Linked DNA regions of Oryzias latipes. The protein of the gene in region 1 interacts with the protein of each later gene in a pairwise test. Links are inferred from orthologs where the notes say so. Each region holds a gene or a part of one and is shown in the gene's direction. Other genes may lie near its edges.

Evidence for each region.
Region 2: the proteins of banp (region 1) and mrrf interact in binary tests that used the Homo sapiens proteins (3 or more experiments, as listed by UniProt). The two-hybrid records come from large-scale screens. The link is inferred for Oryzias latipes from reciprocal best matches to the Homo sapiens genes BANP and MRRF.
Region 3: the proteins of banp (region 1) and cep76 interact in binary tests that used the Homo sapiens proteins (3 or more experiments, as listed by UniProt). The two-hybrid records come from large-scale screens. The link is inferred for Oryzias latipes from reciprocal best matches to the Homo sapiens genes BANP and CEP76.
Region 4: the proteins of banp (region 1) and nrip2 interact in binary tests that used the Homo sapiens proteins (3 or more experiments, as listed by UniProt). The two-hybrid records come from large-scale screens. The link is inferred for Oryzias latipes from reciprocal best matches to the Homo sapiens genes BANP and NRIP2.
Region 5: the proteins of banp (region 1) and nedd9 interact in binary tests that used the Homo sapiens proteins (3 or more experiments, as listed by UniProt). The two-hybrid records come from large-scale screens. The link is inferred for Oryzias latipes from reciprocal best matches to the Homo sapiens genes BANP and NEDD9.
Region 6: the proteins of banp (region 1) and 5'-AMP-activated protein kinase subunit beta-2 interact in binary tests that used the Homo sapiens proteins (3 or more experiments, as listed by UniProt). The link is inferred for Oryzias latipes from reciprocal best matches to the Homo sapiens genes BANP and PRKAB2.

What each region holds. Positions count from the first base shown.
Region 1 is NC_019864.2:22,010,103-22,015,566, reverse strand, and holds the start of banp (protein BANP), read left to right. Parts: upstream 1-2,190; 5' UTR 2,191-2,671; intron 2,672-5,464. UniProt on the Homo sapiens protein: Controls V(D)J recombination during T-cell development by repressing T-cell receptor (TCR) beta enhancer function. Binds to scaffold/matrix attachment region beta (S/MARbeta), an ATC-rich DNA sequence located upstream of the TCR beta enhancer.
Region 2 is NC_019870.2:15,210,823-15,215,832, forward strand, and holds part of mrrf (ribosome-recycling factor, mitochondrial), read left to right. Parts: intron 1-1,132; 5' UTR 1,133-1,134; coding exon 1,135-1,297; intron 1,298-1,393; coding exon 1,394-1,546; intron 1,547-5,010. UniProt on the Homo sapiens protein: Responsible for the disassembly of ribosomes from messenger RNA at the termination of mitochondrial protein biosynthesis. Acts in collaboration with GFM2. Promotes mitochondrial ribosome recycling by dissolution of intersubunit contacts.
Region 3 is NC_019874.2:5,540,332-5,545,341, forward strand, and holds part of cep76 (centrosomal protein of 76 kDa), read left to right. Parts: intron 1-176; coding exon 177-326; intron 327-429; coding exon 430-514; intron 515-599; coding exon 600-815; intron 816-929; coding exon 930-1,112; intron 1,113-2,861; coding exon 2,862-2,959; intron 2,960-3,302; coding exon 3,303-3,431; intron 3,432-3,695; coding exon 3,696-3,887; intron 3,888-5,010. UniProt on the Homo sapiens protein: Centrosomal protein involved in regulation of centriole duplication. Required to limit centriole duplication to once per cell cycle by preventing centriole reduplication.
Region 4 is NC_019881.2:20,306,434-20,311,992, reverse strand, and holds the start of nrip2 (nuclear receptor-interacting protein 2), read left to right. Parts: upstream 1-1,675; 5' UTR 1,676-2,144; coding exon 2,145-2,300; intron 2,301-5,559. Other genes in the region: klhl42 (kelch-like protein 42), read left to right, coding at 1-160. UniProt on the Homo sapiens protein: Down-regulates transcriptional activation by nuclear receptors such as NR1F2.
Region 5 is NC_019869.2:19,396,775-19,401,784, reverse strand, and holds part of nedd9 (enhancer of filamentation 1), read left to right. Parts: intron 1-1,788; coding exon 1,789-2,166; intron 2,167-5,010. UniProt on the Homo sapiens protein: Scaffolding protein which plays a central coordinating role for tyrosine-kinase-based signaling related to cell adhesion. As a focal adhesion protein, plays a role in embryonic fibroblast migration.
Region 6 is NC_019875.2:22,987,022-22,992,473, reverse strand, and holds the start of 5'-AMP-activated protein kinase subunit beta-2, read left to right. Parts: upstream 1-1,889; 5' UTR 1,890-2,211; intron 2,212-3,679; 5' UTR 3,680-3,695; coding exon 3,696-3,854; intron 3,855-3,924; coding exon 3,925-4,082; intron 4,083-4,181; coding exon 4,182-4,275; intron 4,276-4,896; coding exon 4,897-5,011; intron 5,012-5,101; coding exon 5,102-5,235; intron 5,236-5,355; coding exon 5,356-5,424; intron 5,425-5,452. UniProt on the Homo sapiens protein: Non-catalytic subunit of AMP-activated protein kinase (AMPK), an energy sensor protein kinase that plays a key role in regulating cellular energy metabolism.

The sequences.
Region 1 (5,464 bases):
ACCAGATGTTGGGAGTTTACATTGCAAAAATAGAAGTTGTTCCAATGCGTCAATATAAAAAAATAGCAATGGACAAATACATAAATACCTGGGTACTGAAAAGTGCAAGCGACGTTTTACAGATTCCTTTTATTTTTTGCACAATAATCAAATGTAAATTAAATATGTTTACAAACAAACAGGAATTGATAGGAAATCCATTCACATTTTAATTTCCTAAAGTTTTTCACATACAAATAACACAAACATAACATTATTAGACAGAGAAGTTTAAGGTGGAGATCACATCACGGCTCAGCACTCAGCCCCTTCATGTTTGCAATGGTGATGGACAGGCTGACAGATGATGTTAGACAGGAATCACCATGGACAGTGGTGTTTGCAGACGATATTGTGATTTTTAGCGAGAGCAGCAAAGAGGCGGAGGAGAAGCTAGATAGATGGAGGTTTGCCCTGGAAAGGAGAGGATGGAAGGTTAGCCACAGAAAGACGGAGTACCTGTGCATAAATGAGAGGGACCCAAGAGAAAGAGTGAGGTTATAGGAAGAAGAGATAAAGAAGGAGATGGAGCATTTTAAGCATCCAGAGTCAACAGTACAGAGTAATGGACAGTGTGGAAAAGAAGTGAAGAAGCGAGTGCAGCCAGGTTGGAATGGGTGGGAAAAAGTACCAGGTGTAATGTGTGATAGTATGAGGTTCAATTGGACCAAAGACATAGACAGTGGGCACAAAAACATGTTTTTGGCACAAATGGAACCTCATATTTTTCTGGCAACGTGCGTTTGCAGGAATATCAATAAAATGTATTTAAAGAAAACGTGTTTGTCATGGTTAACGCTAGCGCCGGCTTTAATAAACCTTTTTTTTGTTTCGTTCCGTGGTAGTACAGGAAACAATTAACCGACCGTACAAAGGACTTTTCTGACGACGAAAGACAAATGCAAAGTTTTAAACATAACGCATGAACCAAAGGTCAATGAACTCGTTCAGTAGACATAGACAAGGGACCAAAGACATAGACAGTGGACACAAAAACATATTTTTGGCACAAATGGAACCTCATATGATAGAAGAGTTTCAGCTCAAATCAAAGGAAAGTGGCACTGAGGAAAAGACAGGAAAAGGGCTGGAGGTTGCAGAAATGAAGATGCTGAGGTTTTTCTTGGGAGTGAACAGGATGGATTAGATAAGGAATGAGTACATCTGAGGGACAGCACATGTTAAAGGTTTTAGAGATCAAGTCGAGAGACCTAACTGAGATGGTTTGGACCATAGTGTCCAGAAGAGAGGCAGTGAGTAAGTATATTGATGGAAGGATGATGAGTCTAGAGCTGCCAGGCAAGAGGTGGATGCAGTGAACGAAAACGTGACAGTTTTTGGTGTTAGAGTAGAGGATGCAGAAGACAGGGTTAGAGGGAGGAAGGTGATTTGCTGTGGCGACCCCTGAAGGGAAAAGTCCAAAAGGAAAGAAAATGATTAGAACATTATGCCATATGATCACGTGTCTTTGCAAAATTCAAAGGGGGGTTTCAATACATTGAAGTGAAGAAGCAATAGCTTGATGTCTTGATCCTGTTTTGGTGCCTTCCCGTGTGTTGCCTGCTGTGATGGCATTTGGTCGTTTTTATGTTATAGTAAAATAAACCTTCTGTGCCTCAATCCAAATGGTATTTCCCAATATCAATATAATCAATTTATTTCATTTTGAAAAAAGTTTATGATGGTATATTGATTCAGTTACCAAATTGCCTCAGACAGATTGATCTGGTTGGATTGTAGAAAAATAAATGGATTCATCAATTCAACTATTTACAAATACGGCCTCCTTCACTTGATTACAATTTGGCTAATGCAGGACTGAAGGGCTTCATACAACACCTAAATAAATTAATAAATAAAATACATAAACAAAACATGGATAAAGAACAAACGTGTATTAACACACGTTGAATCACAAACATGGCAACAAGAGTGTCTCTCTAACAATTAAATTAAAAAAATGTTTTTAAATGACTGGTTTTGCAGATCTTTAATATATAAAGATCTGCATATATATATATATAATATTTGTATAATTTCTTTTTAAATAATTTGTGTGTTGTCTTAAATGTTGATGGTGTGTCATTTTCTCTATTTTCCCTCACTGTTCAAATCAGAACACAGAGTATCTGAAACTATCTCGAAATTGTTCAGCTGATAACAGTTTTATACTTTGTTCTTTAAATAGTTTCCCCCTGCAGTTGTTACACGAGATATTGCTGGTAGCGTTGATTTTTCTGCTCAAATCGTTGGCTTAAAAAATAACGAAAGACATCCATGTGCAGGATCCTTTGTTTATTTTTTAGTTTGTGAGGAAGTAATCCTAAAAACAAACTTAAATTTGATAGTTCAGTAAACATCCGCTCATATAAAGGAGCATTTCTTTAATCATAAGATTTTAAGGCGGTCGGTAGTTTTGAGCAAAGTGTCAAAGTGTTTTTCTAAAAGAAAACTTTACACCCTGACGCTGATCTCATATCTAATGAAGAGTCGGCACGTTCCCCCTACAGGCTGTCTCGGCGGTCGCAGCCAGTCGGCGGAGGAGCACAGGAAGGCACGAGCTCATCTCTCGCGAGGAACGACGCCGTTATCGGAATCTCTAGAAACAACACGAGAATTCGTCATTCACACGGTAATATAAGCCCACTCTTACACCGTGCAATTGACGTGTGTGAGCAATGGTCTACGAATCCAAGTCAAAATCATCTTTCATTTTATTTTAATTTTTTACGTTTTAGCAAATACTTCGTTGCGTTTCAGCGGCCTGTAGGCCTAACTAGCATGCTAACGACTAAGCTAGCTGAAATAGCGCTCTGTTTGCGTTGCTTAGCTCTCAAATCGGATTGTGCTAACTTTAGCCATTGCCAGTACATCACTGCTCTGTGCTAATCGAAACTTGTTATAATGCACAGCTGTGATCTCATGCAGTTGTAATAAACTGTACTTTTCCTGAAAAACAATAATCAACATCTATCAGGACCTATGTTCCTTCAATTGTTTAGTTCATTAATTTAAATCTCCTCCCATTTACTGATACTGATAGCATACAGTTAAATAACTGCATCGTTACTAGCAAGGCAAAGATGAAATATATTTAGTGGAATGAAAGGTAGAAGGCTTGAACAAAGTCTGGCTTTATCATTATTAAGATAAACCACCAGTTTACAAATAGTAAGGCATTTCTGGTCGTTTTTTTTAAACTATCACATCTTAATTGCTTTGAAACAAATTCATACATTGACATGTGTATGAATGTGAAAGTATTTCTCAAAGTGCATCAACTAATGTCATAAAATTGCCAGTCTGATCTACTTTTGCCCCAATCCATATACAAAAAAAGTACATTTGATTAAATTATACATCCAAATTAGTATTTGCTAAAAGTGACGTAAACAAATCTATTTGTATTTTGATTTAATTAAAAAATTAAATGGGGAGACTTGAGTTTAACTGTTATGCCATTTAGCCACAGCTTGTAAAGAAAAATACAGCAATGCCAAGCACACATGCTTTGTTTAGAAGGTGGTCATTAGCCTTAGTGATAATTGTTTTACATAAACATAAAATTGTGTTTTAATTAAATTTTTACTTTAAAATAACCATTTATTGGAAAAACAAACAATCTTCCAATACTGTCATTTACATTGGACTTTAATTCATATACACTGTTTTAAAATTAGTTGAATCAGGAAAATAAAATACTTTTAACTACTCTCGCCTTTGCAGGCTTTTAATTATGACACAGATTTATGGTATTGGGGAAACATTTTAGATATAAAGGACTTGGGAAAACAAAACAAAACAAGAATTATAAGTATTTTGACCATAAATAATGCGTAAATAGGTTAAAAGAAACGAGTACCACAATAAAAATGTTCCTAAACGTGAAAACACTTCAGCAAATATTAACTATTGTATTTATTTATGAAATTTGGGGAAGTTTAAATGTCCACTCATTTTTTGGACTTATCATTTAAAAACAGTAATTTTTATCAAGAACCGTTTCCAAAACTATGTTTCATGACTATATGACACATGAAAAGCAGATTTTGAATTTTAGCTGCAGTTTAGTCACATGAAGCAGAAAGTGTGCCATTCTATGTTTAACTTGCTAGTGATGAACATGTAATAAATCCTCAAACTTAAATGCTTTAAAAATGTCATAGAACTCATTATAATTGCATACTCAACACATGCATTGACTTCAAAGCATTTATGTACAACTGTTGTCAAACACAATTTCATAACTGGTATTAAGCTAATAGGATTTGCTTGAAAACCAGTTAAATTTGATTTGTTTCCTCAATTATGGAGTTTGCAATATGTGTGGAAAAAGGCCCAATATTAAATGCATTGGCAATAATCTCTGCAAGTATTTGATTTGGCCCAATAAGGTAATCAAGCTTTTTTCAGGCTGTGTAGTTATTAGTCAAAAGCGCTAAGGCTCAAAATCATACAATAAAGACCTTGTCCAGTTTGGTGTGGATGCACAAAGCCACTCTTGATGCTCTGGAATGTACAGGTTTCAATCGGTGATACTTTTTCTTAAAGTTCAGTCCTACAGGAAACAAAAACAGTGGCTTACAAGGGTCGCTTCCTGTTATCCTTTCCAACAAGCCTGTTTGAAATGGTATGGTTGCCAGGAGCACACATTCCCTCTATGAAAGGAATTTTTGCAAGTTACAATTGTGGAAAGCTCTGAAGATTTCTTTAACAAAAGACAAATAATGCCCCACTTTTTGAAAAATTAAACACAAGAATTTATCGTTGTGTAAATGAGACCAGAGTCCACTTCAATGAATGTAGTCTTAAAGTTCTGTTTATTTTTTAAAGTCAAATGCAAAGATCTGTTTGTTAACTGCATTTTGTTTTAAACAGCAAAAACGGAGTCTTAAGGAAGTGAAAAAGACCCTTCTTTCCTGAAAAATGTGTCTTATTTTCTGTCTTTCCATCCATTTTCTTAACCTACTCTATCTTTTTTGGGGTCTCGGGGCTCCCGGAGCCTAAACTGGGTCATTTTGGGCAAGGGTAGGGTACACCCTGCAGGGCCACACAATTACACACACACCGAGTCGCACCTTGGGATGTGACCGATGAAGCGCGTCTATGGATGAAGGTCGATTGCCTGGAGAAAATCCACACATGCACAGGGAAAACATGCAAACTCTTCACAGAAAGGACCCAGTTTGGATTTGAACCAGAGCCTTCTCATTGAGAGGTGAAGGCAGCAACCTATTCTTTCTTGTCTTGCAAGAAAAAGTTTTTCTAGTAGCAAATGAAACTTTGTTTAAGAAAGCATGCCCAAGTGACATCTAAAGAACATTTTTGAAATTTTAAGTAGTTTTGATGAACTTTATAGTGGACTGTGGTCTGAGGCACAGCAGCGCATTTAGAATAGATTAAAGAAAAAAAGAAGTTGTTCAAG
Region 2 (5,010 bases), on another chromosome or scaffold:
CCTGGTCCCTCAGATCTCCTGCTCCATTCAGTTTAAGGTTTAATTTTTAAATAAGGAGAAACAGAAAAAGAAACATGTTGCTCTAGGACAACTAGAAAATCAAGTAAAGTTGCATTAGTCCTTGTGTTTTTAGTATTTATTTATTTATTTATTTATTTTTCCCTTCAAATGGGCTTATTCCTGTTTTATTTATATTTTTGACAGGGAATATCAACTTTTACATCATTGTTACATTGTTTCCAAGTTGCACATCATTTTACATCAAATATATTTTCAGTCAGTAAATCAGAATGCGCGTTTTTGATCATTTTGTACTCTTCCCCTCTTTTTTATATGAACAGAAAAAAAACAAAAAAACAACAAAAAAAACAAACAGAGCAGCTGTCAATCACACTCTTATCCAAAAAAGATGAGTCAATAAAATAAACCCACATTATCTGTTATCTTGTAATAGAGAAGTATTTTTTTTTGTTAGAATTAAAGAAGGTCTGGTCTAAGAGGTCCAATATATTTGACCCATTTTGCCCACCATCTCAAACCTTTATCTGTTTGCATCTTTATTGCAAAAGTCAGTCTTTCCATAACATAAATGTCATGTATTGTTTTATACCAATCATCTACTGTTGGAGCATCAGGTTGTAACCACTTTCTTGTCAAGGCCTTCTTTCCTCCCACCAGCAATATTCTCATTAAATATTGGTCTGCTGCAGACCGCATGTGTTGTGTTACTGTTCCCAGGTATAGAGCCAAGGCAATAAAGGGAGTGTTTTTAGTATTTAAATTCCTTCTCCGATCATCCCCCAGATGTGCTCCCATTGGCCTTTTAATGGTGTTTAGGCTGTTTTTATGTAAAGATATTTGTCATTTTCGAGGACAGTTTCTGCAGAGCAGCAGGAGTTCATTAGAAATTCGTCTCAAAGTTGTGGTGGGACTGTTGGCATAAAATAAGCATACCCCTACTTCCCATCATCCATCTGTTTGCAAGCTCTCCCACTAGCTTAGAGCCCCTCACATCCCAACCCTAACATTACCGTTGCAGTAAAAAGGACGAGCAATCTCGGAGCTTTACAGCCGTACAGTTTTGAGTCAGATGCCAGCTCAGACAATCATATCTGTGATGTTGTTTTTACAGACATGGCGTTGAATCATCTGAGGCTGCTGCAGCCTCTCCTGTGCCGCTCCCTGATCTCCCGATCTCGTCTCGTGGTCACCGCCGTGGTCAATGTCAGACCTTCAGCCTGCACTGGCACCGTCCATCTCCCTGCTGCTGCATGCAGGTTCTACGGCACCAAAAAAGGTCCGTCATCTAGAAACAGGTTGCACTTGCATACTTCAGTTAGCAAGAAACTCTGATTGATGTTCATTTTCTTTTACCTTTCCTTTATTTTCAAAGATAAGGCAAAGGGTCCCTCGGCTAAAGTGAACATTAAATCTGCTTTGGTGGAAGATATCATCGACCTTGAAGAATTGAAAGAGGAGATGGCGGCTGTTGTCTATGCGCTCAAAGATGACTTCACGCGCAGCCTCAGCATTCGAACCTCACCAGGTAGTCCACCTCTGTCTGAGTGTCTGTCTTTTATTTTTGTTTTTTGTTTGTCCTCTTAAGTTTCTTAACAGCAGTAGCCTCTAAAGAGTGCATAAATACATTTGTGTCTAAATAAGATGTTGAACACAAATATCAGGTGCATGTAATAAAAGAGAGGGTATTACAGGGGGAAAGCGAAAAAATAAAAAATAAAATGAATGGATAATAATACTTGTTTAACTAACAGCTTAGCATTTTAAAATTTAATAAGCCCCCTTCTTTACTTTTGTGATTGTACATTCATATCCCTACTTCTACTGTTTGACTAAAATATGAATTTTTCTCACACACATATATGTATATTCCAGTTTGATGTAAATCTACCCATAGAAAAGCAAAAATTTAGCTCAAGTTTATGTTTTAATGCTAAACAAAGGCCTACCCCTATTTGTGCAAAAAAATGTCTGTTTTTTTTGTGTGTGTCAAAATTATCCCATCAAAAGAAATTACAGCTGGAGAATATATAAATGTAAGAAAATATGTAAATCTTCCATCAACAATTACATTTTGCGAAAGTCACCATTGCAGAACTTTATGTCAATCAATTCTGTTGATTGATGGACAGAATCCCAGAACATATGCATCCCTATAGTGCCATTGTCACAACTGCCCTTACAGGTGGATATGGGGTGTCTGCAGGTAAAAAATGGGCAAATCTGTAAAGGGCACACAGGTGGGCTGTAGAAAACTGCAAGGTCTTGGACCGCTCAGTGAATCCACAGAGCAAAAATGTACAAGCACACGTTGTTCCAAACATTGAAACAACAGCTGTACAGTATGGCACATTGTATGGATTTTTCTTTATTTGACCACACACACACACACACACACCTGAATCCTACACGCTGTGCAGGGAGCTCATTAGGCCCATTTTAGTGATAAGTGCACGTTCCATGTGTGCAACCTGGCTGTTAGAAATGAAGAAATCAGACAATCGGAGCGTAGTTTTGTGTGGGCATCTTACTGTCACATCACGTGCAGATCACACCTCATGCGTCCAGCACTTGCATGTGGTCAGCAAGGAGCCAGTGTGCGGTCCTAACTGTCCAGTCGAGTGTGGCTTAAGGACACCGTACAACAGCTTCCCCCGTACGTCATAAGTGCAGGTGACTTACACCATCCTTACAAACATGTCACAATACACTCACCACACACACGACAATCACACGTTCCATTTAACCCTTGTGCTATCTTAGATGACCCCACCTTACATTGATGTGTTCTCCCTACCATGACAAAGGTGGAAAGATTTCATGTAATCCATGGAAACCAGTGAAGATCACAAATCATTGAAGAAAAAAGGTATAGCGCACTGTCTAGTGGGTCTAGATGACCCAACTCCCAATGTTAAAGTGTCTAGGATAGCACAAGGGTTACGCAATGTCTTATGAGGTGGGCACACGAGCTTCAAGGGAACACCGAGACACATCTGCGCACCCCTGAAGACAAAGCCGCTCCTGTCCACATGCCTGCATGGGTCTGGACAACCCAAAACATGCAGCACTCGTACCTGTCAACCCCCTTAATGGTGTTTAAGCGGTAGTGACTTTAGTTTGTTTTTGGCTTTTAAGTAAGTCTTTGAATGTGGGTAATGTTTTGCTGAGCACAAGTCATGGGTTTATTCAAAAGTTGTTTGAAGACAAACAAAAGTCAAGTGGGAGGATTTATTTTTGGTTGGATTGGAGTGGAGGATTCAAAGGATTCTTTGAGGGGATCTTTAGATATACAACACTTTATAAAGATTCCTTGTTTAAGTCTTTGCCTTAAGTCAAGGTTTAAAAAGCAGTAAAATACTTATTTTTGTCCATTGTCAAATGAAACGCAATTAAGAGTAGATAAAACTTCTACAAAGAAACGTAACAAGCAAAAAAGAGAGGAAAAGGGTGACAGTGTGAAACATGTTACTGACTTATTAAACAAATGAGAGTATTAAATAAATCACACAGTGAAGTGCAGCTCTAAGCCATCACTCCTGTTTTTCTGATGTTCTAAACGCATTCATCAGGTTTTTTTTTTTTTCAAAATAAAAGACTTTCTTGGTGCTTTCATCTACCTTGTAAAGTGCTCAAAGGCTTAATCTGAGGAGATCCCCTTGTGACACTGCCTCGACCCCACTCTGGCCTCTGTTTCCCCAACTACATCCAGGCCACGACCCTTTGTCTCTGGATTCTAACAACTAGGAGATGGATTCAAAAGAGGGTGTAATAAAGTTCCCAAAGGAGGAGACTGCAGCCAAAAGCAGACTTCAGACTGAACTTTTCTTGAGTTTTGTCTGTTCTTTTTCTCTTAACATGTGTGATTTCTGATTTACTTTGGCCTTGCTGTACTGGGTGTTAAACATGCAGAGGATAGTACGGGTTTCAATTCATTCCTGTGCTTTGTCATTGATCTGTTATTGTCCCACTTAAAAGATAAGACCACCAATGCCCTTTTCTTTTGTTCTGAAACAAATAACTCTCCATTCCCCATCCATAATTTTATCTTTGAATTTCTTTCTCAACCTTTGGGTTGCATTTCTTCACAGTATTGATCTCAAAAGTCACTTCTTTGGATTTCTTTTCGCTTCCATTCCTCTCCACTAATTTTTGTGCATTCATCCCTCCATTCTTTCGTTCTTCCTCGCGGCGCTCCCATGGCCTGCTCGTCTTTCTCTTCTCCGTCCAGCTGCACGGTAATCCAGCAAAAGCAGCCGGACTTAAGGCCCAAAGCAGAGATGAGATGTTTGAATGAAATGAGGTCAGTTATCTGAACGGGTTTGTTCCATGAGCCTCTCATCTGGCTCTCATTAAACCTATGAGAGATTGTCTGCGTGGATAGGACCACATTTAAAAGTATACTGTTGTGTGCTATGAGAAATGTGCTCTTATCTGCATGTACCCACTAAAATGTGCTAATCTCATATGTTGGTAAGAGGTTTGGAAAAGGGGTCTAAAGAAATATTGCCTTTGGTCAGAGGGGCTCCTGCTGTGAGAACAAGCAGCAAGGTAACCATGGAAACGAATGGTTAAAAAGGCTTTATTTGATTGTCGAATTCTGGCCTTTTAGATATGACTGTTTAAGTTTTTATTTTTTAATTGAATTCAAGAGAAAATAATTCATTCAACCTGAGAACAAAATAAAATATGAGCCCCTAAATTTCCAAACAACTATTTTACTTGGATAAAGTAAAATAAAGTACATTTATTAAAGTAGCAGTTTTTTCTACACAGGATTTGTATATATATTTAGACTGTGTATTAACTTTAGGCTTCATTCATAGTACGGCTGTCACTAACGATTATTTCAGTGGCCGATTGGTCAGCGATTACTGTTCACATAAAATAATGTGCAATTTCTTTTTTTTTTACAAAATGTGACAGTGCTGGTACTCAGTCCATGGAGCCTCGCGTCATGTATGGTATACTGCTAATGCTCAGCATATGATG
Region 3 (5,010 bases), on another chromosome or scaffold:
ATTAAAATACCACTGGAAACAATTTTACAATAGAGCAAAAGATGATTGGCGTAGATTTTTAAGGCACAGTCCCCATGCTTGGTCTAACTGCTGTCTGTTCAAACTGTCTGTTCCTCTTCCCTGCTGAGGTTAAGTTCGAGGAACTTCTAACACAACCTTTTATTTCTGTTCCTCAGATGAACATCCACGGGAAAATCCAAGAGGTGCTGGCGGAGACTGCAAGGGTGGATCCCGGCTCTGGACGTTTGTCGGAGGAGGATTTCAGACGTGCTCTACAGCGCAGAGGCATAATAGATGATGTGATGAAAGACCTCCGTTTCAGCCAGGTGTTCTCGCCTCTCACTGACAGATCACATGTTAGAAACGAAGAGAGCTGTCTCTATTCAGAAAAGACTGAGGAACTCTATCACTAACTGCCTGCCTTTGTAGGAAAAAGCAACAAAAACAGCATCAGGATTTCCATCTAAGCCTTTCAGTCATTATGGTGACAAAGAAATGACCGAGCTGAGACAGAGTAAGAGAAATTATGATGCGGTGCACAGTGTCGTGTTTGTGTCATACTTGTTTTAATTTTTCTTACTTCTTGCAAATCAACGTAGACCCATCAAGGCAGTACCTGCATCTCCAAGTTCTTGGTGGGAAGGCCTTTCTGGAGCACCTGCAGGAACCACAGCCGTTACCTGGTCAGGTGTCTTCTACGTTTACACTCTACCTACATTTCCGCGACCAGAGGTTTGGATCTAAGCCTGTGCCCTGTACCTGTGAACCAGACATGAGGGAAAACTTCCTCCTGGAACTCTGCAGGGACAATGCAGGTAGGAGGAAAGTAACTGTTTAGAGGTTAGTGAAGATGAGCTTGAACTTAGGTTCCAGGCTTAAAAAATACATCTCCTCCTTGAACCTAATCATGACTTCTTTTCTTGTTAAAGATGGAGGTAAAGTGATGGATGCAGCCTCTATGCTGTCTATATGCGACCCTATCCACTTTGTCCTGATCAAGACGGACATTTCTGGTGAGACGACGCTGGTGTCGTCCTATTTCCTGGATTGGAGGCCAGTTCTCAGCTCAACAAACAGCAAGACTTGTTTTGCTGTGGAGTTAATGGGAGTTGGTAAGCCACCCTGATTGTTATGGTCGGATAAGCAACCCCTACTTTTAAATAATATATTACCTTTGGCACACTAAAGAATGAATTTATTTTTAAATGAGTTAATTTTGTAGGTCATTTTCCTACCTGGAAGTAAAACGTCTCGATCTCTGCGGCTCCGCCTTTCTGTCCTTGTGGGTGCCGCCCATTTCATGACATCATCCTCGGCAGCATGTCTGCCTTTCACCCACAAAAACAAACAACATCTGAACTTTTGCAAAGATGGATGTTCATATTGTGGAGCAGGGCTGCTCATTCCTGGTCCTTTAGCTCTACCACCCTGTCTGTTTTCCAGATCTCCAAGCTCTGCTAGCTGCTGAATGAGGGTGTGTGTGTTAGCGTGGGGGTGGGTTGGCACCGCAGACTCTTCCTGGAAGGGGCTGTTCCTCACTTTGTAATGCTGCAATGTGAGGGTCCACCCATTTTTGTGGATTGGGAGGGGCTGGGGCTCAGAACGCAGGTTTTTAGAGGAATACTCAGAGATGTGTGAACGGATCACAATACTGCTTTGGGGTTGTTTTTTGTGAGGAATGAACATTATTATACATTTAAAAGCTTAAAAAGTTGATTCTGCTGGATACAGACCCTTTAAACCAGGGTTTCTCAAAGTTTTTGTAGCGGAGGGCCAAATGAAGAACTCTGCATTAGACTGGGGGCCAATTTTGGTTTAAAAAAATGGATAAACAGAAAAGGTTGTTTTTAATAACTTGGATGACCAAGTGTCATTGTACAGTTAACCAGGCCCAGGCTGTGCAGAGACTAATGCACGGAGCATCAGTCAAAACACTCTCAGCAAAGCGGGTTAAAGTTCTGCAGAACCTCCCAGCAATAGATTGTAGTCCAGCGACCTGATGGATCAGAGTGATGTGTACAACGCTCTGAAACAAGGCCAACGTCATGGCGATGGTGTGCGAGAAAGCTGAGCTGCAGCTGCAGAGCAGACTGTCATGGAAATAAAGCATCTTTGCCACATGAAAGCATCTCCTTCATCTGTCATGCTGCTGCATCATCATCATAACACTTTATTGATGTTTTTCCCCTTTATTCTTGAAGCACCGTTCAGGCTCCTAAACCATTGAAAAGTACTGGAGAAGCTACATTTACCAATATTGGAAATAAACATCACTTTATTTCGTCAATCATACTTTTAGAACCTTATTAGTTAAGGCACATTCATTCTTTTTTTTTTCTTATACTGAAATATATTTTTTTGTGGAAATCAGACAAAGTATACTGTTCCTTTTCTATATTTTAACTTACCAAAACAAAAGCAGTGTGAATTTGAGATACAGTTGCAGTGCTTAACATTGTGATCATTAAATAAAATGGATTTTTACCATTTCATCACTATGGAAGACATTAATATTCAGGTAGTTTTTTCTAAGTGATACCCCCAAAAAAAATAAAAATAAAAAAGAAGTGTTCTGGTAGAACGTCGGGATACGTATAGTATGATCAGACTCTTGGCAATACACATCCGTAGATTATAGCACCAGTCAAATGCATACGTCTGCCTTTTTATGGATGTTTTAAAGTGACATTTTTCTTGTATTTATATTTGGATTTTGAACCAGAGATGCTTAAACACGCGGTAAAAAGAAACCTTAAAAGGTGGAGGAGGGGATCTTTCTTCAAGTAGATTCCAAAAGTAAAACAAGTTTTTTTTTTGTCTTATAAACGCTTATGCTGTACTAATAATTTCTTGAACCACAGGAAGTGAATGCAAAGTGCCAGCTGGTGTTCTGACAGTCAACCTGGAGCTGTACCCTCCTCCAGCTGTGAATCTAAGTGCAGATGTCATCAGCACACAGGTCAGCAGCATTTCTGAAATCAAGTTTCTGAAACCATCCGTTGAATCACCAAACTCTGATTCTTAATGAAGGCACCCTAAAGTAACTTAGTGAAAACCCTGACGGGATAGAAACTGCTGGAAGCCAGAAGAATAAATGGAGTTTATTTAAACGACTCGCTCTCTCATTTTGTTTAATGTTTTTTTTGCCAAGTCCTGATGTAGAAGTGTTTGCTTTTTGTTGGTTTATTCTGGTGTTTCTCTTCAATAAATCAAAACAAAGGTTTAAATATCGGATATTTGTATCAACCAAAAGAAGCTGGAAGGTATTGTGTTTCTGTGACCCGTGTGTGATTGTCCTGCAGCAGTCACTGGAGAGGACGAGGACGGCAGAGAAGGACAGGCTCTTCTTGGTTTATGCTAAACAATGGTGGCGAGAGTTCCTGGAGATTCGGGCGTCTCATCAGTCCAAGCTGGTCAAAATATTTGCACAGGTTAGTTCTGAGATATTTTAAAAAAAAGATGTTATTAAAAAAAAATTACAGCTGCAATGTCATTAACTGATAATTCACTTGCTGTGATCATCAGATCATCATCAGACTTCCTTTTGTATCTGGAAACATTTTTTTGGGGAGGAGATTGGTTCAAATCATGATGCATGATTCTAGAAATTACCGATATCTGCTGCTTTTTATGTTCTGTTTGCTTCAGTTCTTTTCCAGAACGTTTAGCCCTATGCTTCTGTTGTGTGTCTGCAGGACGAGAACGGCGTAAACCGACCCGTCTGCTCTTATGTGCGTGTCCTCCGGGCTGGCCGCCTCCTGGAGAGCTCGCGCCACGCTGCCCGCTTCGTCAGCCTGCTGGCCCACGAGAGGGCTCCGATGCTTGGAGGAGGAACGGGCAAGCAGGAGCAGTGGTGCACGTTGATGGCTTTTCTGTGTCGAGGAAAGGTGGGTGTCTGCTGCTGAACATCCACAACACAGATGGTCTGACTTTCAGACGCTGTTGATGTTTTCTGGTCTGTGGCAATAGCATCAAAGTTTGTTTCCATGTTTCTTCAAACCTTTCCTTTTCTGCCTTTTTCATACATGAGCTCCCCCAACCTGTGGCTTTATCATCCTGTAACTGAGGCCAGTCTCTCACTTCATTCCAATGGGTTTCAGGTTGACTTTAGTCCAGGATATGCACAAAAGAGGCATTTGGGACCTCAATATACCTGCACTTTCTTTTGGGCTTAAACGGTAACATCAAGTTGCAGGTTTTGATGAATCTTTCCATCAGCAGGCTGATGAAGTTCAGACTCAAGTCTGCTATAAGTTCTGGGTGTTGGTAGACTTGGCCGCTGTGCAGCTCATCCTTACAGTGACCTGTTGTTTTGAGTTTTGGTTGGCTCTGAGATTCCTCAGTCTGAGTACAATCCGTTCTCTGAGAGGAACAATTGAACCAAACGGCCACCATAGCCGGTCGTCATGTGATGTCAGCAGAGAGCCGCAGATATACTTGGAGCAACAATGCAACAGCAACTCGCTGAAATGTAATTGGATGAATGCAGGCTCATTGAGACAACTTTAAACTGTTTGGGCAGTGGCAGGTCGGCCGATGATCGAAGGATCGGAAGGATCCCCGCTCCCCCCAGTCAGCTGTCGTTGTGTCTTTGGGAAAGACACTTCACCCTCCCTACCTCCAGTGTGGTTCCACTGGTGTGTGAATGTGTATAAATGTCCCGGTGATGGTCAGCGTAATGGCAGCCATGCCTCTGTCAGTCTGCCCCAGGGCAGCTGTGGCCACATCAGTAGTTACATCACCAATGAGGAGTGAATGAATAATGGACACATTGTAAGAACTTTGAGCAACTGGAAAAGTGCAGATAAATCCAATCCATTATTATTATTATTTTTTTCCAACAATCTGTTTGTCAAAAACACTTATCAGTACCATCTTAGATGTCGCCTCCTCATTAACCGCCTTGCAGCACCATGGCTCCGTAGTTCCAAAGGAAAAAGTGTTTCACCTGACATTGGGACAGAGGTTCAAAATTGGTCATTAAAATATAAAGTTTGAATTAGTGAACTA
Region 4 (5,559 bases), on another chromosome or scaffold:
CTACATGATGAGCCGGGATGTGAGCCCGCTCACCAGTTTGGAGCACCGCGTCTTCCTCAAGTACAACATTTTCTCAGACGCCTGGGAGGCCTTCAGGCGCTTTCCTGCTCTCGGGCAGAACACGCTGCTGTGCTCGCTTTACCTCCCCAATGTGCTATGACTGTTGGAGGGGGGGGGGGGGGCGGAGACCTGAGCTCTAACACAGGATTGGAGGAGACCAAGTCAACCTATGTGCCTCAAAACTATCGGAGCCAAAAAAAAAAAGAAGTGCCTCTGATCTGTTAACACAGTTATAAGAATATAAATGCACCCTCTGAAAACCGTTTCCCATCATGCAGTTCCATCTTTGCAGGAACAAGCTTCATATTTCTTCATGCAGAGTTTTAAATGTGGTCTCTCTCAGCATTTTCCTGATGTTTACACTACAGACACAGACGAGTGCGTCGGTCCAGATTTCACCTCAAACCTTTGAGTGGCTGCATTTGTGGTCGTGCACACAGCGGACAGCCGTGGCCTTGGTTTGATGCCGCCAAACGGGGCACTGTGTGCTCGCTGCACGGTTTCAGAAACACTAGACGGCACTCTTCCATGAACTGAAAGATGCACGTGCCTTCTGCTGCCTCACTCTAAACAACTCAAAAAAAGAATTATTACAATTGACTAAATCTGTTCTGTTTTTCTTTTCTTTTCTTTTTTTTAAACTTTTTTTTAAATGATGTACTTGTTTTGGGTTTTTGTTTCCAGGAAAAAGAGTTAAGTCTTTGGAAACTATGACAAAATAAAGATTTCTTTGTATGTCAAGTTCCTGAGTGGTTTCATTAACTGATTCTAAAGTCTTAAATGAAAAAAGGAAAAAATGTAATCTGATAATCTATGATTCTGTGATCCGAGTAAACCTGTCCTTGCATAAATAAACAGCACCATTTATTAATTATATAAAATGTGAGTTAGTGTCATTGAAACGGAAATTTTTTTTGTTAACTTTGTTGAAGCCTTGTTGACTTAAATCAAGTAATGAAAACTTCCTTTTACAAAAAATGTTCATATTTTCAGTGTTTTGTTTTATGTTTGTCAAATTCTTTCGGAAAGCTTTGAAACATTAAACAAAATAAAAACGATGATCAATAAGCTGAATGATGCGAATCACGGAAGTTTTCAAAAATCTTTTTACCTAATAAGTAGTAAAATATGTGTAAAAACAGGGAGAGATGTTTTTCCAAATTTAGAAGTAAATATTAGAGATTAACATAAATATTTCCTAAAACGTATTTGTTGATTTCATTTCATTTATTTCTCCATGATCAAATGGGAATTTCTGGAACAGCCTTCATGCTGAAACATGAAAAAGCTTAGATGAGGCAACCACTAGGGGGCAGCACACACCTTTCAATGGCTCTCATCTCTGTAGGCTCTTAACCTTTGCAAGGACTTCCTCTGTAGATGAATATATTTCTAAAACCAGTCTTCAAATGGATGTGTTCTTATTTAGATCTGACATTTTCCTGCGGATCAGAAAGCCTCCCACCCTGCAGACGGCATCCTTCCTCCCACCAAAGCATGTCGTAACGTGGAGGTCAACAAGGATGAGATATTTATAGCTCGGTGTGGTATAGATGCATGCATGAAGGAAGCTGAACTTCACAGTGACAGCCACAGAAAAAATCTATGTTTGCCATCATTAGTGCAGATTGATCCTCCGTGTGAGGTCAGATGGCGGTGATCTCCGCCACACCGCCACAGCACTGAGGTGTCAGGCTTCAGAAACTGACGGAAACATCAGAGGCTGTTCGCATCTTCATGAGGAACCGTGGTCTTCCTCCGTCCAGCGAGGGGAGCATGTGTTTGTCGAGCGTGTGACAGTAAGAGGCGGGCTCAGAGGGGAGGGAGAAGAAAGAAAAAAAGCACAGAAGTGATAGAGAGACGGAGAGATCCAAGGACAGGCGGCACTGAGGGGAGGGGAGAGAACAGCCTCCGTCAAACGCTGATTTCAGAGAGGAAGATGCACGTCTCCGTGAGAGGAGCACCCGAGGCAGGTCGATAGCCGTGGAGACCCAGAGAGAAGCATCTGACACAGGAGCTGCCGGTTGACTCTGCTGTCAGGAACCTCACACCGCCGAGAGGACAGAACCGTACGACCCAGAACCATGAGCGAGGCCAAGAAAGGTGAGCTGGCCATCCGAGACAAAGCCATCCTGCACCAGCAGAGGCGTCTCAAACAGGCGACCCAGTTCACGCACAAGGACTCGGCTGACCTCCTGCCCCTGGATGGGCTGAAAAGACTCGGGACATCTAAAGACTTGGTGAGTTGATGCTCAGTGATGACGGGGCTTCAGCGTTGAAGAGTCCGAGCAGAAATTGTGCAGTGGTCTGCAGAACAGGAGAGCGTATAGGCTGTAATTTCTACCTTCTATCCGAGCGTTCACGCCACAGTTCTCAAAAGTGTTCACTACTTCTTCTCTGTTTCAACTAAAAGGGTTTGAATCAGACAAGGCTGGATCATTGTACCTTCATCAAAATTCGGTGCCTGTTAGACTTTCAACTTTGTGGATGCAGACTCTGATGCTACTTTAACACTGGGGTACTGCTTTCAATGAAAAGTATATATATATATATATATATATATATATATATATATATATATATATATATATGTATATATATATATGTATGCACATATATATATATGCACATACATGCACCTTTCGGCACATGTGTTCGTTTTTTTAGCTCAAAACGCGCCACCATTGAACTGTCGAAAGTTAAACCAGTTGAACTTTGACCTGGCTTTCGTGGTGAAGTATGAATAGTGTCTTTTTGAAAACATCGAAGTGCAAACCGTTTGAAAAATGGAGGACAAAGATGTAATAGTTGCGCTTTGTGCCCGGAGGGTTTCCACAGAATTTTACTGAAAGGGGTTGCTTAGACGCACATTTCCGATGCCGGTGTGAACGTAGCTTTAGAAAAGGCTGTTGAAATCCATCCCTGCTGTGGTGTTTTGTGTTAATTTTTTGTGAAAAGCTTCATCGCTGTGTTTGCACTAATTTTTCAAACTTAAATGAATATGATCATCAAAAAATTGTATTAGAATAACAAAAAGCTGAAAATATGCAAATATGACAAAAGATTATTCCTGCCTCTCAATCTGTCAAACAAAAAAAAAAGTAACGAGCACCTTAATATATCTTTGATAAATGATAGTTATAATGTAACCACTTTAATAGACGCTGTTAAACAAAGTGAAGCTTAATGAAAACCAAGACCTGGAACCTCCTTTCAGGATTGATTGATGGATCACAATGACCCGGAGAACGAATCCAAGAGGTCACAAAAGAGGACTCAGTTTAAGTTAGTTTGTGATTCATCAGTCAGAGAGAGACTTTTGGACAAAAATGGAATCACGGGGGTTCCAGCAGAAAGACTTTATGCTTCACTTTAGTAAAATAATGTGAATTAATTTACGCAAAACAGAAATTATCCACATCAAGAGCTGGCGTATGCAAAATTGATACTAAAGGAGGTTTATTTATGGTAGAAAATGTGGGTATTTACAGTCTGGCAGACGCCTGCGCATCCCAGTGATATTTGCAGAGCTCTGCCAGAGCTGCTTCACGGTGCCAGAGTGACTGCTGAGGTTCTCAAAGAGCTCAGGGGATTCTGGGAAGCAGCCGTCAACCCAGAAACCTGTCAGAGGAGGGAAAACGGATGGTTGTCAGAGGGAGTCCCTCCAGATGTACAGAACTACTTCACTGTAGTTCTGTACATCTTTTCTGTTCTGTACAGAACCTTTAATGCTTCTTTCTGGAGGTTCACCACTTTATGTTAACTCAATTTATGTAAGAATAGAATAGGATAGAACTTTGTCATTGTCACAGGTACAATGATATCAAAAAGTGTTTCCTGGTCTGTATCATACCTTAAACAACCCATTGTAAACATTTATAACTTAAAAATAACAAATAAAAATACATTAAATTGCATTATCCAGTAACTCAAAATAGGAAATGAAAATTAATTTACTGTTAAATTTAAGTGCATTTATGTAAAAAAAAAAAAGAGGATTTAATTGTAAATTAAGAAAACATCCACCGTCTGAGGTAAAACCAAAAATGAAATGTCTCTTGCTTCCTATCCCTTAGCAAAAAGTAAAGGGATAAAAAGTGAAAAACAAAAAACAGATTGGCCTCTTATCTTGATTTTTTTAATTTTACACCTAAATGATTCTAAATGATCAAACAAATGTAATTATTTCCACTGAACAGCTCCAGTAAATGCAAATGGCGTTTTCCAAATAATGATTAAATTATTTAGGCTCAAGCCTGCTGTTCTGGAAAATTACTCACTAGTTCTATGCATATGTCCATGTTCTCTCACTTTGGGCTTTATTTCCATTAGTCAGTGTCAGAATGAGGCTGCCTCCTCCCAGATTTAACCCTTGAACAGCAGAGATGCTGAGACACCTAAATAACACACGTTCTTTAACATACTATAACTCTGATTATTTATGCGATCAACACGAACAGAGAAAAGCAGCTTTTCCTATCAGCTTTGCACCGATATGCAGCACTTTATGCCCAACTGTCTCCATGTGTGGGTACGGGCTGACGGCGAGTAAAATATGGGCAACATGACACGAGGTTTTTAGATCATAGATGACTGTGAATTCGCAGAGCGACAATGTTCATGCACATTTTTTCTATGGGCGCGGTGCAGGCGTCAGGTCATAGCGAACACTAAAGGCCGTGTCACACATCCTTTACAAACATTTTGTGAATATTGCACGGATGACAATGAACGTACGTGAATATACGTGGAACATGACAAAAATTTTGTTTGTTTACGTGAAATTTTCACAGATGTATCATGAATGACCACGTTAAAACCACGGAAGAAGTACGAACAAACTTCGCAAAGGACACGTAAGTCAACGTAGAACATATTATTGCGCTGTTTGTATGCAATCCGTGAGTGATTTGTGCGTCAGTTACATTTTTTAAAGCGATATGTGCGCCACATACGCAATCTAAAAGTTAAACATTGGTGAAATGCCCCTTAGACAAACGTGGAACAGTCGTGGAAACCCACAAATTTGTGCATGCGTCTTGCTAAAAGATTTACGTAATAATTGCTTATAAACTAGTTACAATATACATAAACTGCGTAATTCTCAGCCAACCAGGAATCCTGAATGGCTCAAAATGTCAGCCGACACCCTTGATGGACATCCGCACACATGGACAAAAGACGATTGCAAGAAACACTTCTGTATCACGGAGAAATCACAAAAGACCGAAATATCATGCGTGGAAAATTAACAATATGTAAGTAGTGGCGGCGTGACATGGCCTTAAAAAAGGTTAACTTCCAGCTCCAAACAAATTAAGTCCATTCAGTCGCCGTTTTTTTAGGATGCGGACGCCGCGATATTGGAGCCACATGGTGTAAGTGAGCAGCGATTGGTCTCAGTCGCTGTTTCTATGGCAACCACTTTTACCAATCAGGAGTGGAGCTTGTTGGAAGGCCAGACCTCAACCACATGAAAACGGGCCACACGAAATCTGT
Region 5 (5,010 bases), on another chromosome or scaffold:
TGTTTCCTCTGGGATTTATCCACGGTCCTCAGATTCAACACAACATGGCATCCTGTGCAGTTACTTTCCCTCTTCAGTTAGACCTCCTCCAGGCGAGAGCTGACTGTCATCAGCCAATGAGCTTCACATAAATTCATTTGATTATTCTGATAGATTTCAATTATGAAGAAACTTGTGAAGTCTTCAAACCTTACTTCTAGAGGAACACATGGACAGACAGAATTATGATTCTCAGTCTAGAGATGGCTGCGGTGCAGAGGTAGAGCGGTTGACCTCTCATTGGAATATCACAGGTTCGGTTCTCGCCTACCCCACCCATGTGTCCAAGTGTTCCTGGGCAAGACACTGAACCCAGCATTGCCAGTGTTCGGCAGTGTAGTGTAAATCAGTGTTGTAAATTTGTGTGGGTGGATGCATACGCCATTTACCAATTAGAGGGACGCCACTTACCAATAGACGAAAAAACTAAGAGTCTCAATCTAGATCAGGGATGGGCAACTCAAGGTCTCGAGGGCCAGTGTATCTGCATAATTTCAAGATATCCGATCCCCTACTTATGACTGGTACCTGGTGTGTCCAGCCAATTGGAACATGCAAGAGCAAGGTTTGTTGGAAAACGTGCAGAAATGCGGCCCTCAAGGCCTGGAGTTGCCCTTCCCTGATCTAGATTGTCGAGAGACACAGACGAACCCACGGACCCATGGGCTACAGAACTATAAGTCTGAATCTACATGAATCTGAACCAACAGAAGTATGAGTCTCAATCTAGACTTGAGTTTGGGATTCTAGGTTCTACATGAACCCTCAAACCAACACAACGATGAGTCTTAATCCATAGGAAAATGTGAACCAACATTTTCTTATAAACCATCAAACTGTCTTTCCAGATGACGTTGATGTGTTTTATGTTTATGGATCCAAACTTTCTTATAAGTTTCTTGAGTCTTGTTTTAATGTTTTTAACCGAATGTCAAACCAAAGAACCGGTCTCCTGATTTTGGCACTTTTTCATCAAACAATGAATTTGTTGTAAAACTATCAGCAGGGCAAGTTCTCCTAGTTCGTACTGGCAGGAGGTTGGACAGAGAGAGTCGGCACAGTCTCCACCTTGAATTTAGTTGCAGTATTTTCTGAAATAGATCAGGTGTATCCAGTTTTCCTGTCAGGTGCTGTATAGTCAGCCAACATAAATCCAAAGGTTAACAAAAGACAAACATGGCAGGATTTTGAGGAAACACAAACAATTGTTCAGTGTCTGTGTCAGAGGTTCAATCGTATGAGCAGGTCTGTGCACTAAGTAGAACAGGCATTGAGTCTATAATGGAATTACATTTCTGTTTTTCTGCAGTTTGTTTATGCTGGACTTTAATCCATCTGAGAGATTACAGCTGCTGGGGATTAAAAGTGAGCAGTTTCATCTGCATCCGTCACCTCACCTTGGATTTTTCTACCATGAAGACCTCTGTGGAGAGGCGGGTGTCGGTTTAGCGTCGATGCTGCTGCAGAGTCGTTGGTTGTTTGCTGAAAGATCACTTTCCTGCTCCTCATGTTGATGTACCCTTGAGCTAGTCAATTATGTCCTAATGGTGGTAAATGGAGCGTGCATGAAATGAGCCGAAGAAGGAGAATTCATGATGGTGGCTCCAGAGTTATCATCATGGTATCTGCAGATTGTGGTGATTATCTCAGCAGCCAGTCACATGTTCACTGAGAATGCTGAGCTGCCCTCGGGCTGTGATCCAAGTCTGTAAACTGCATCAAAAACTAAGCCCCTCCCCCTTTCTGCAGAATCTGATGGCCAAAGCGCTGTACGACAACGTGCCGGAGTCCCCTGAGGAGCTGGCCTTCCGGAAGGGGGACATCTTGACTGTCATTGAGCAGAACACAGGGGGACTTGAGGGTTGGTGGCTCTGCTCCCTGCACGGCCGCCAGGGCATTGCCCCCGGAAACCGCCTGAAGCTACTCATCGGACCCATGTTTGAGGCCCCGTCGTCAGCCACTCCGTCTCCCCCTCAGGGCCACCAGCAGAGAGGTGGGGCAGGGGCCCAGGGGCTCTACCAGGTCCCACCAGAGCAGCAAAATGTCTACCAGGTCCCACAAGAGCAGCAGAGTGTCTACCAGGTCCCACCGCGAGGGGGTCTCTGCGGCGAGAACACACCCAACAAGGTAGGACAGAACCTAAAATTCTTTTGCTTTTTTTGCTGAAACTTGGAATTTTTTTTGCATAAAGTGGGCAAACAAACATAGTGGGCGTAGCCTCCCTCTCTGCATTGGCCATAAAGGGAGGTGGAGTTGTGACCAGGCAGAAGCTGTGGGCCAACACTCACCACAGCGGCGTTTCCGGTGGTGGTGCGTTGGCGCCCTGTGCGCTGCAGAGCGAGTCTGAGCTGCAGAGAGGCAGCAAATGTGAGCGGCAGCTGTGGAAAAGCAAACAGCAGATCTGTTTAGTTTGGTGAAGCAGAGCCCCCTCTCTCTACTCAGGCTTCTTCAATCCTGAGAACCTTGCAAGGAAACTCCAATTTCCCAGAGTTCCTGTGTAAAGATGTCACTTTCCTTAAAGAATTTAAATGTTAAACTGGTTCAAGCTTTTGATCTATGAATGCATCATGCTAGACTCCTGGTTTGAGTCCTTCGAACGTCTCTGGTTCATGCAAGCAGACTTTCCACTGAACCAAAGAGAGACATTTTTGTGTCTTTGGAGGACACAAAAAACAACGACAGTGTGAATCTGAAGAATCAGGAGTCATAGAAAAGTTTAAAAATCTCTACTGTGTAATCTCTACTGGTGTAGCGAGATGCTGCAGGCTCTTATTTGTATGCTGGTCAGAGGACAAGTCGCTTTTTTTGTATTTTCTTCCTGTTTAGAGCTTGCTTTGAGGCAATAGTGTTGTCAAATTTTACAGGAAACTGGCTCAGATGTAAATGAATAAAAAGACTAACATTAAATTTTGGCTACAAAGTAAATAATATGTGGAATTTTCCAATCCAGATGTTTATCTGCCTCACCTGGTGCAGAAAAAATGATTTTTTTTTTGCTATTCCCTGAGTCAGCTCTAAAACTAATTATGGAGGCATGATGATCTATTGATGCTGACATCATCATGCTGTCAGCAGGTGTGTTTCCTGCTGATCAGCCTTCAGGAGATGAATGAAGTCACGTGGTAACCCGTACACCTAATGTCCAAACAGCCTTTCGTCACGGCGGTAGCAGGGCCAATCATCTACGTACTGAAGTTGTAAAAAGGGAGGTGCATGACAAACTTTCCATTTTCTGGCAGGAGCGCCTCATCTTGATTGCCCAAGATGCAACATTCAAAGAGCATGAGCTCATCTGATCTCCAGGAAGGAAATGATGGTTCTTTTTTCCATCCAGACATTTCTGACTTTTCTGAGCTTCTCTGCTCACTGTTTTTTAAGTTTCTTGATTTGATTTCTGAGTCCCATTACCGGACCCACAGTGCTCCCTCCCTCCCTCCCTCCCTCCCTCCCTCCCTCCCTCCCTCCCTCCCTCAAAAACTGGTTTCTTTTGTGACGTGATGCTCTTGGGTCCTCCAGGTCACACGTTGGCCCCCGCCTGCTTATTTTTCTTCCTGGCAGAGGTTCTAGCACACAGAGGTATCTGAGGTTTGGCACTCGCCGCCTCTCAGCTTGTTGGGTTTGATGTAACAGCCCCCCCCCCTCTGAGCTCCACTCTCTGGATGCACAGAGAGATACTCCTCCCCTTTTGGAGAGATGGGGATGGGGGGGGGGTCTGCAGCTTTGAAAGGTGTGTAATTCTAGGCTATCTGGCCACCCTTCTTTCTTTTTTTAACTGAGGCGATGACAATGACAGCCGGTCCTGTCTGCTCCCTCCAGACCCCCCCCTCTCTGACCCCTGGTCTCCTACCTCTGCTCCTTGTTTGGTCTCCTCCTCAAAGATCGGTTTGCTTATTGGTGCCATAAAGACTTTCTGCTTTAACAAAAGCTCAAGAGATAGAGGAAGTGCTGATAAGCATCCAGGGAGCGCATGGGAGGGGGGGGGGTGACAAAAGTCCGCCTCGAGGCAGGAAACCTGGATGGCTTCCTTTGACGCTGTTCTTATTGGCGTGCATCTCCTCACTCATATGTGTCCAGGCTGCCATCATCTGGTTTGTTGGTGGGTGAGAGCTGCTCCAAGTGCCCACTGGGAAGTTTAGAGAGTGATGAAGGATAATAAGAATCACTCATAGACCTTAGAAGTCCTATGCTAGTCTGTGATTTTGAACCTAAAATCCAATCAGAACACCAGAAATGCTCCTGTTGCTCCATGATTATCCTAGTTTCCATGGCAACATCACGCGAGGGGAGAGGTATGGATTTTGTGGCCAGAGGAGGGTTTGCTGAGAGGTGGTCACATACAGGGTTTTCAGGCGGGTGAACACCCCCCAAGGACCTCATCTCGGAGCTTAAGAGATAGTCTGGCTCGTCTGCAGGCGCTCAAACGCTGCTTTGATCACAGAGGATCATCGTTAAGCTGACGTCTATTTGGATTTGAAAGCCCGTCCGTGAAGTAGAGATGGTGTCGTCCTCGTGGGATTCAGGACTTGATTAGTTCTTTAATGGGCTGGTGGGGTTTTTAAGTTTGGGGAGGGGGAGGGCATTGTCTCTAATAGAGGCTCTCTTGCGTTGATGCAGCAGAGCGAAAGAAACAGTTTAAAGACAAGAAGTCCAGACTTTACGTAAAACACACGTGTGATGGTTTAGGGCAGAAAGCAGTTCAGACTCTGTGACCTGATGGCGGCATGCTGACGGCGCTGCAGGCACATGCAGACAGACTGATGAGAAAGATGAGGAGGTGTGAACGGAAACTTTGTTTGGCTCATGGGTTTCAAATCATCAAGTCATCAGCAGGAGGAAGTGCTTTGTGGGTAAAATCGATGAAAAGGTGTGAAAGGACGATGGTGGCTCCGCCCACTCCCATGCTACCAGTCTGGTTCCAGAACTTTTTTCTCCTCTGTGGTTAAGGCTATTTCAGTCAGCCACTACGTACAT
Region 6 (5,452 bases), on another chromosome or scaffold:
CAGTAAGACCTTAGTAAGACCTTAAAACATGGGTTACTCACCTGTTCAGGTTGGTGCTGTGTTTAAATGTTAAAGCTAAAAGGTGGGAGGTTTTCTTTTTTCTTAAATTTTTACTATAAGACTGTTATTAGCCTTTTATGTTTTGTTAAAAAATGCATTTATGAATATTTAAAGAGTTTGACTGCTTTGGCTTTAGTTGTTATGCATATTTATGATTTGCTCTTGATGTTGTCAGATTTTAGGTATTGGAACTTTTTCCATTGCAATTAGTAAATTTGACCTTTTATTGATTAAACAGTCCCCATGAAATTCTAAAAAAATAAGTTATTTGGTTTAAATTATCTTAGGAAATCCTGTAATTATATATCTTAAGGCTGTAAGGATTTAAAGTACTTTGCTTTGCAGTTTAGTCCTGTTAAAAAGATTATACAGAACTATCCATTTTGGTGATTTTAAGTCTGCAAGGCTTTAATGCTAAAAGAAACAATTTATGTATTTTTTCCCCTTTTTTTTCTTCGCCCATATGAATCAGGTTGAAAACGCCTCAATTAGTAACTGCTTTACAGCAAATGTTGACCAATCAGGGCTGTCTGGTCTTTTAAGGAAAGGAGGCTTTTAAAAAATAAAAGTAAGAAAATAGCATCATGAAAAACATATCAGGGGATAATACTGTCATGTATCAATTTTTTTTCTTTTATATTAAAGCATGTAAAAAATTTAGGCAAATAAATTCATGAATATCAAAAATGAACATCAGAAATATGGTCTTTCGTTAAAATTTAAAAATGAGTGACAGAATAAAAGTGTTTGGACATAAATCCATTGATGTTCTTAACCTGCTGTATCCCTTTCGGGGTCACAGAGTCCCCAGAGCCTGTCCCAGCTGTTGGGCGAAGGTGGGGTACACCCTGGACTGGTTGCCAGTCGGTAATGGAGCCACACACTCATAGCTACACTAAGGGACACTTTAGACTCACCAATTAACCTATAAAGCATATTTTCGGACTTTAGCATGAAGCCAGGGTGCCTGGAGAAAACCCACACAGAAAGGTCCCAGCTGGTATTTGGACAAGGACCTTCTCGCTGTGAACTAAGAGCACTCACCGCCACAGTACAGCCCTGGACAGAAATACGCTCACTAAAAAATAAACAAAATTCAATTTCTCAGTTAATGTTGTAACTTAAACTTTTTAAAACATTTTATAAACACCCGCAACCAAAGCAGTTGTGATGTGATAGGTGAGCTGATATTGTAGTAACAAATTGCTGGGGAGGGGGGGGGGAATCACACCTTATCATTTCCACAATGTCATTTAAATCATTTTGTTTACCTTGATGGAAAAAAAGCTATGATAGAATGAAAAATGCCAGGGATGTCAACTCAGCTGTTTTACCTAAAATACAGTGTATTAAATTAAGTAATTACAACCCCCCTAAATAATTAATCACTTTGAATCGAGAGTACACATAGACAACAATACATATTAAAATGAATGAGAAACACTTATGCTCATTGCATTAACGTCATTAAATGACTTAAGTAACACAATAATTTGTATTTTTTTATGCAAATTAGGGTAAATCTTTTTTTTATTAAATAAATAGTATACTTGATACATCTATATGTTACATTTTATAGTATAAAAATGTCTTTTAATTTCATTTCATTTTATTTGTAAAAAAAAATTACATTGACTAAATTGTACATTATTTGGATAATTTTACTACAACCACTATTAAGAAGAGACACGACACCAAATAAAGAATTAATTACATTTATTTAAGTATTTGTAAAATTTCATAAAAATGTTTTTTTTTTTGTTTGTTTGTTTACCGGATGTTGTTTTTGTCGCGGCTGACTGCTTTTTTTCCTTTACCGACCGCCGTAGTTGTAAAAAGGGGAGGATCTTCGCTGGTGTCACAGACTTTCCTGCTGCTCTTCAACACAAATCATCGCCTCAGCAGCGATAGGCCGAGCTTCTAACCCTTTTCGGTTCTTTTAAATGACTAAAAACAACAACAAGTACTCTATCAAATTAGTTAAATTGTTTTAGTTGTTATTTACACAGTGAAAGGAGTTCCCGGTTCGAAAGCAGAGTGACAGCTAGCTAGCTGCTAGCTGACTTTAACAGCGACCAGCAGCTAAAAATATTCACCAGGACAGTCGCGAGGTAGGCGGGCACAGCAAAAGCGTCCTGCGCAGTTACCACGGTAGGTTACAAATAGTGTGTTTTGTCATACGAACTAAGCTTTTTATTGATTCGCAAGTCATTCGGTTGTAGTTAAAGCAGATTTTCGAAGGGACCCATCTGTGTCCAGGGAAGTTCACTGATAGTTCATGATGCTAAAAATACCTTCTAAACGTGGGTAGGTTAGCTGTTGTGAATATTTTTATTTTCTTTATAATCTAAAGATAAACGTATCGTTGTTTTCCACATCATTAGGCTGTTTTGTTTTTTGATTGATTTATTTTTAAATATGACTCTGGATCATCCTTAGTTCTAAGAAGAAAAAAACAACAATCACAACTGATGATTTGATGTTTTTTATAGCTATAACTTTAACTCTCACGAGTAACACAATTTTAGTTTATTTTCTGTAAAACCAGAGTGTGACATATGTGAATGTCACACAATGTGACATAAAGCGAAATAGGATTTGCTGTTTGTTGACTAAAGCCAAGGCTGATCAGTGTTCCATGAATCCAGCAGTGTCACGGTGAACCCACCAGTCTACAGTGTTCAGCAAACACCTGCGCCTTTGTAGTAAATAGAAGCTTTTGTGCCCTGAGCTTTTAGTTTTTTCTTTTTTAATTTGATCGTTTATCTATGTTGTTCACTGAAACCTCCTACTATTTTATCCTTTAAAATTAAGACATCTTAGCTTGTAAACTAATTTGAAGTGATGGACTTGATTATAGTGTGAAAGGTTTATACTGCTCATTTCTATGTAGGGGGAGGGGGGATCAGTGTCTCTGTGGGGACGTAAAAGGTGATGCTTGTGAAAACAAGCACCATCATGTGATCAAAATTCAATTAGAAGTTGTATTCTCTTTTAGGTTTTTAGTAAAAAGTACATTTTACTATGATTATTATAGAATAGTTGCATGTCGTTAACTTAAACCAATCTTATCAATGTTTTATGATACAATATTTTTTAAAAAGCTTACTTTGGTACTTAAGCAATTTTTGCCTAACATTACTTTCTTGTAATTTCTTAGTAATATGAAACAAAAGTTATCCTAGAGTTCGCTTAAATCAGATCATCTTTACAGAGTTCACTTTTTTTTTAGCAAGGGAGTTGAAGTCAGTCTGGCTCTTTACTTGGTTCAAATTAATAACTGAAAAAGGAAAAATAAGGAGAGGAAAAACTGTCACCAGATGCATTTACATGCCCTTAAGAAACCGAGTGAAACTGTGTTTACAGAATAGTTTCAAGTTTGTTTTTTGGCATTAATCTGCTCAGTGAAAAACAAGTTTTTCAGAAAAGACTTACATTGTAAACTGTTTGAAAAGACGACAAAAATCCTCTATGAAAGCAGAAAATAATAGAAAGCATCTGATAAATATGAATAATAAATATCCTCAATGCAAACATGAATGAACATTTGTCATAAAAGTGTTATAAATAATGGTTTAGTTCCCACTTCAAGAGTTTCTCCCCCCTATATTTTGCACAGTAAGCAGTGAAGCATCATGGGTAACACAAGTGACAGGGTATCTGGAGATCGGCATGGAAACAAGGCCCATCGTTCCGACAGCAGCGGCAGCCACAAAGACCAGGAGCACAGCACCAAGATGGTGGACAGCACAGATGATCCCAACATCTTCAACACCTATGGACCTGAGTCTAAAGTAGGAATCCAACTACTTCACTATATAATCTCATTTCTTTCATATTATAAATATTTATGTTTGCTGTTAGGGGCTAGGAGATAAAGAATTCACCCCGGATCTGGATGACCTGGTGAAAACTGCCTCCCAGGCCCGTCCCACAGTGATTCGCTGGGGTGGTGGGGGGAAGGAGGTTTATATCGCAGGCTCTTTCAATAACTGGAACACTAAGATTCCACTGAATAAAAGGTAAACCGTTGGTTTTACATCAGTTATACTGGTGTCGAATGTGTTTTGAAGTTTTGTCATCGTTTTAATATTGTTTGCTTTTTCTTTCCCTCCTCAAAGCCATAATGACTTTGTTGCCATTTTGGACCTGCCTGAAGGAGAGCACCAGTATAAGTTTTTCGTGGATGGACAGTGGGTTCATGATCCTTCAGAGGTACCCGAGTCATTTTTCTGTGCTTGTAGTTTTTGTGGAAAAAAGTTTGAGCTCTGCTGGTTTCTGGGTTGCAGTCAACATCAAAACCTAAAGGATTAACTGAAAGCGTTAACAAGCTAATTTGCTGGCAACAAGTCATCTTAACTGAATATGAAGTAACATGGTTGAAGCAATAGGAAATGTTTTCTTGGAGTATAAGTCAGTAAGAACAGATTTTAAGCTTGGCATTGGTCAAAACTTGTCAACTAACCCATCTAAAACAGATTGGACAGGATGGTTCTGTATGTTTTATAATTTCATTTTTAATTGTTTTTTTTTACCCCTTATTCATGCAAATATTCATTAAACAACTTCTGCTTCAAACTTACCTTAATCTAGCATCAACTTAAAAAGCACAAGCATTAGTGAAATTGTTGGGAATAAATTGGGCCGTCAGGGGGTTAAGTCTGTAAAGCACTTTGTTTCACTGTAGAATGAAAAGTGCTTTATAAATAAAGTTAATTTGTGTGTTTGGTCTCTTCATTTAGCATTTGGTGCTTGTCATAGCAGTTGTGTTTTTTTTTAAGGTGTTAATGTTTGACATGTTAGATGATTAACTTCAGGATCGTTGCTGTTTTGCAGCCGGTGGTAACCAGCCAGCTGGGAACGATCAACAACCTGATCCAGGTGAAGAAGTCTGACTTTGAGGTGTTTGACGCGCTGCAGGTGGACTCCCTGGAGTGCTCGGACACATCAGGTGCGTCTCCTGTGATAGATCTTGTTCTCTTGCTGCTCGCCTAAATAGATTGGTACATTTTCGGCCTTGAACACATCTTCATGTCTCCAGACTTGTCCAGCTCGCCTCCAGGTCCGTACGGACAAGAGCAGTACATCTTCAGACCCGAAAAGCACTTCAAAGCCCCTCCGATTCTCCCCCCTCACCTGCTTCAAGTCATTCTTAACAAGGACACCAACATATCAGTCAGTGTTTTACGTTTTCTCAGTGATTCATCCTTTTACTGTCAATTCCGTCTGCTTCCATGTTGCTGTTGTTTCTCTGAACAATAATCTTTGTGTTTTTTTTTGGTCTCTGCACTTCAGTGTGACCCTGCTCTGCTGCCTGAACCCAACCACGTCATGCTAAATCACCTTTACGCTCTCTCAATAAAGGTACATTCACTGTTACAATGTTGCTTTT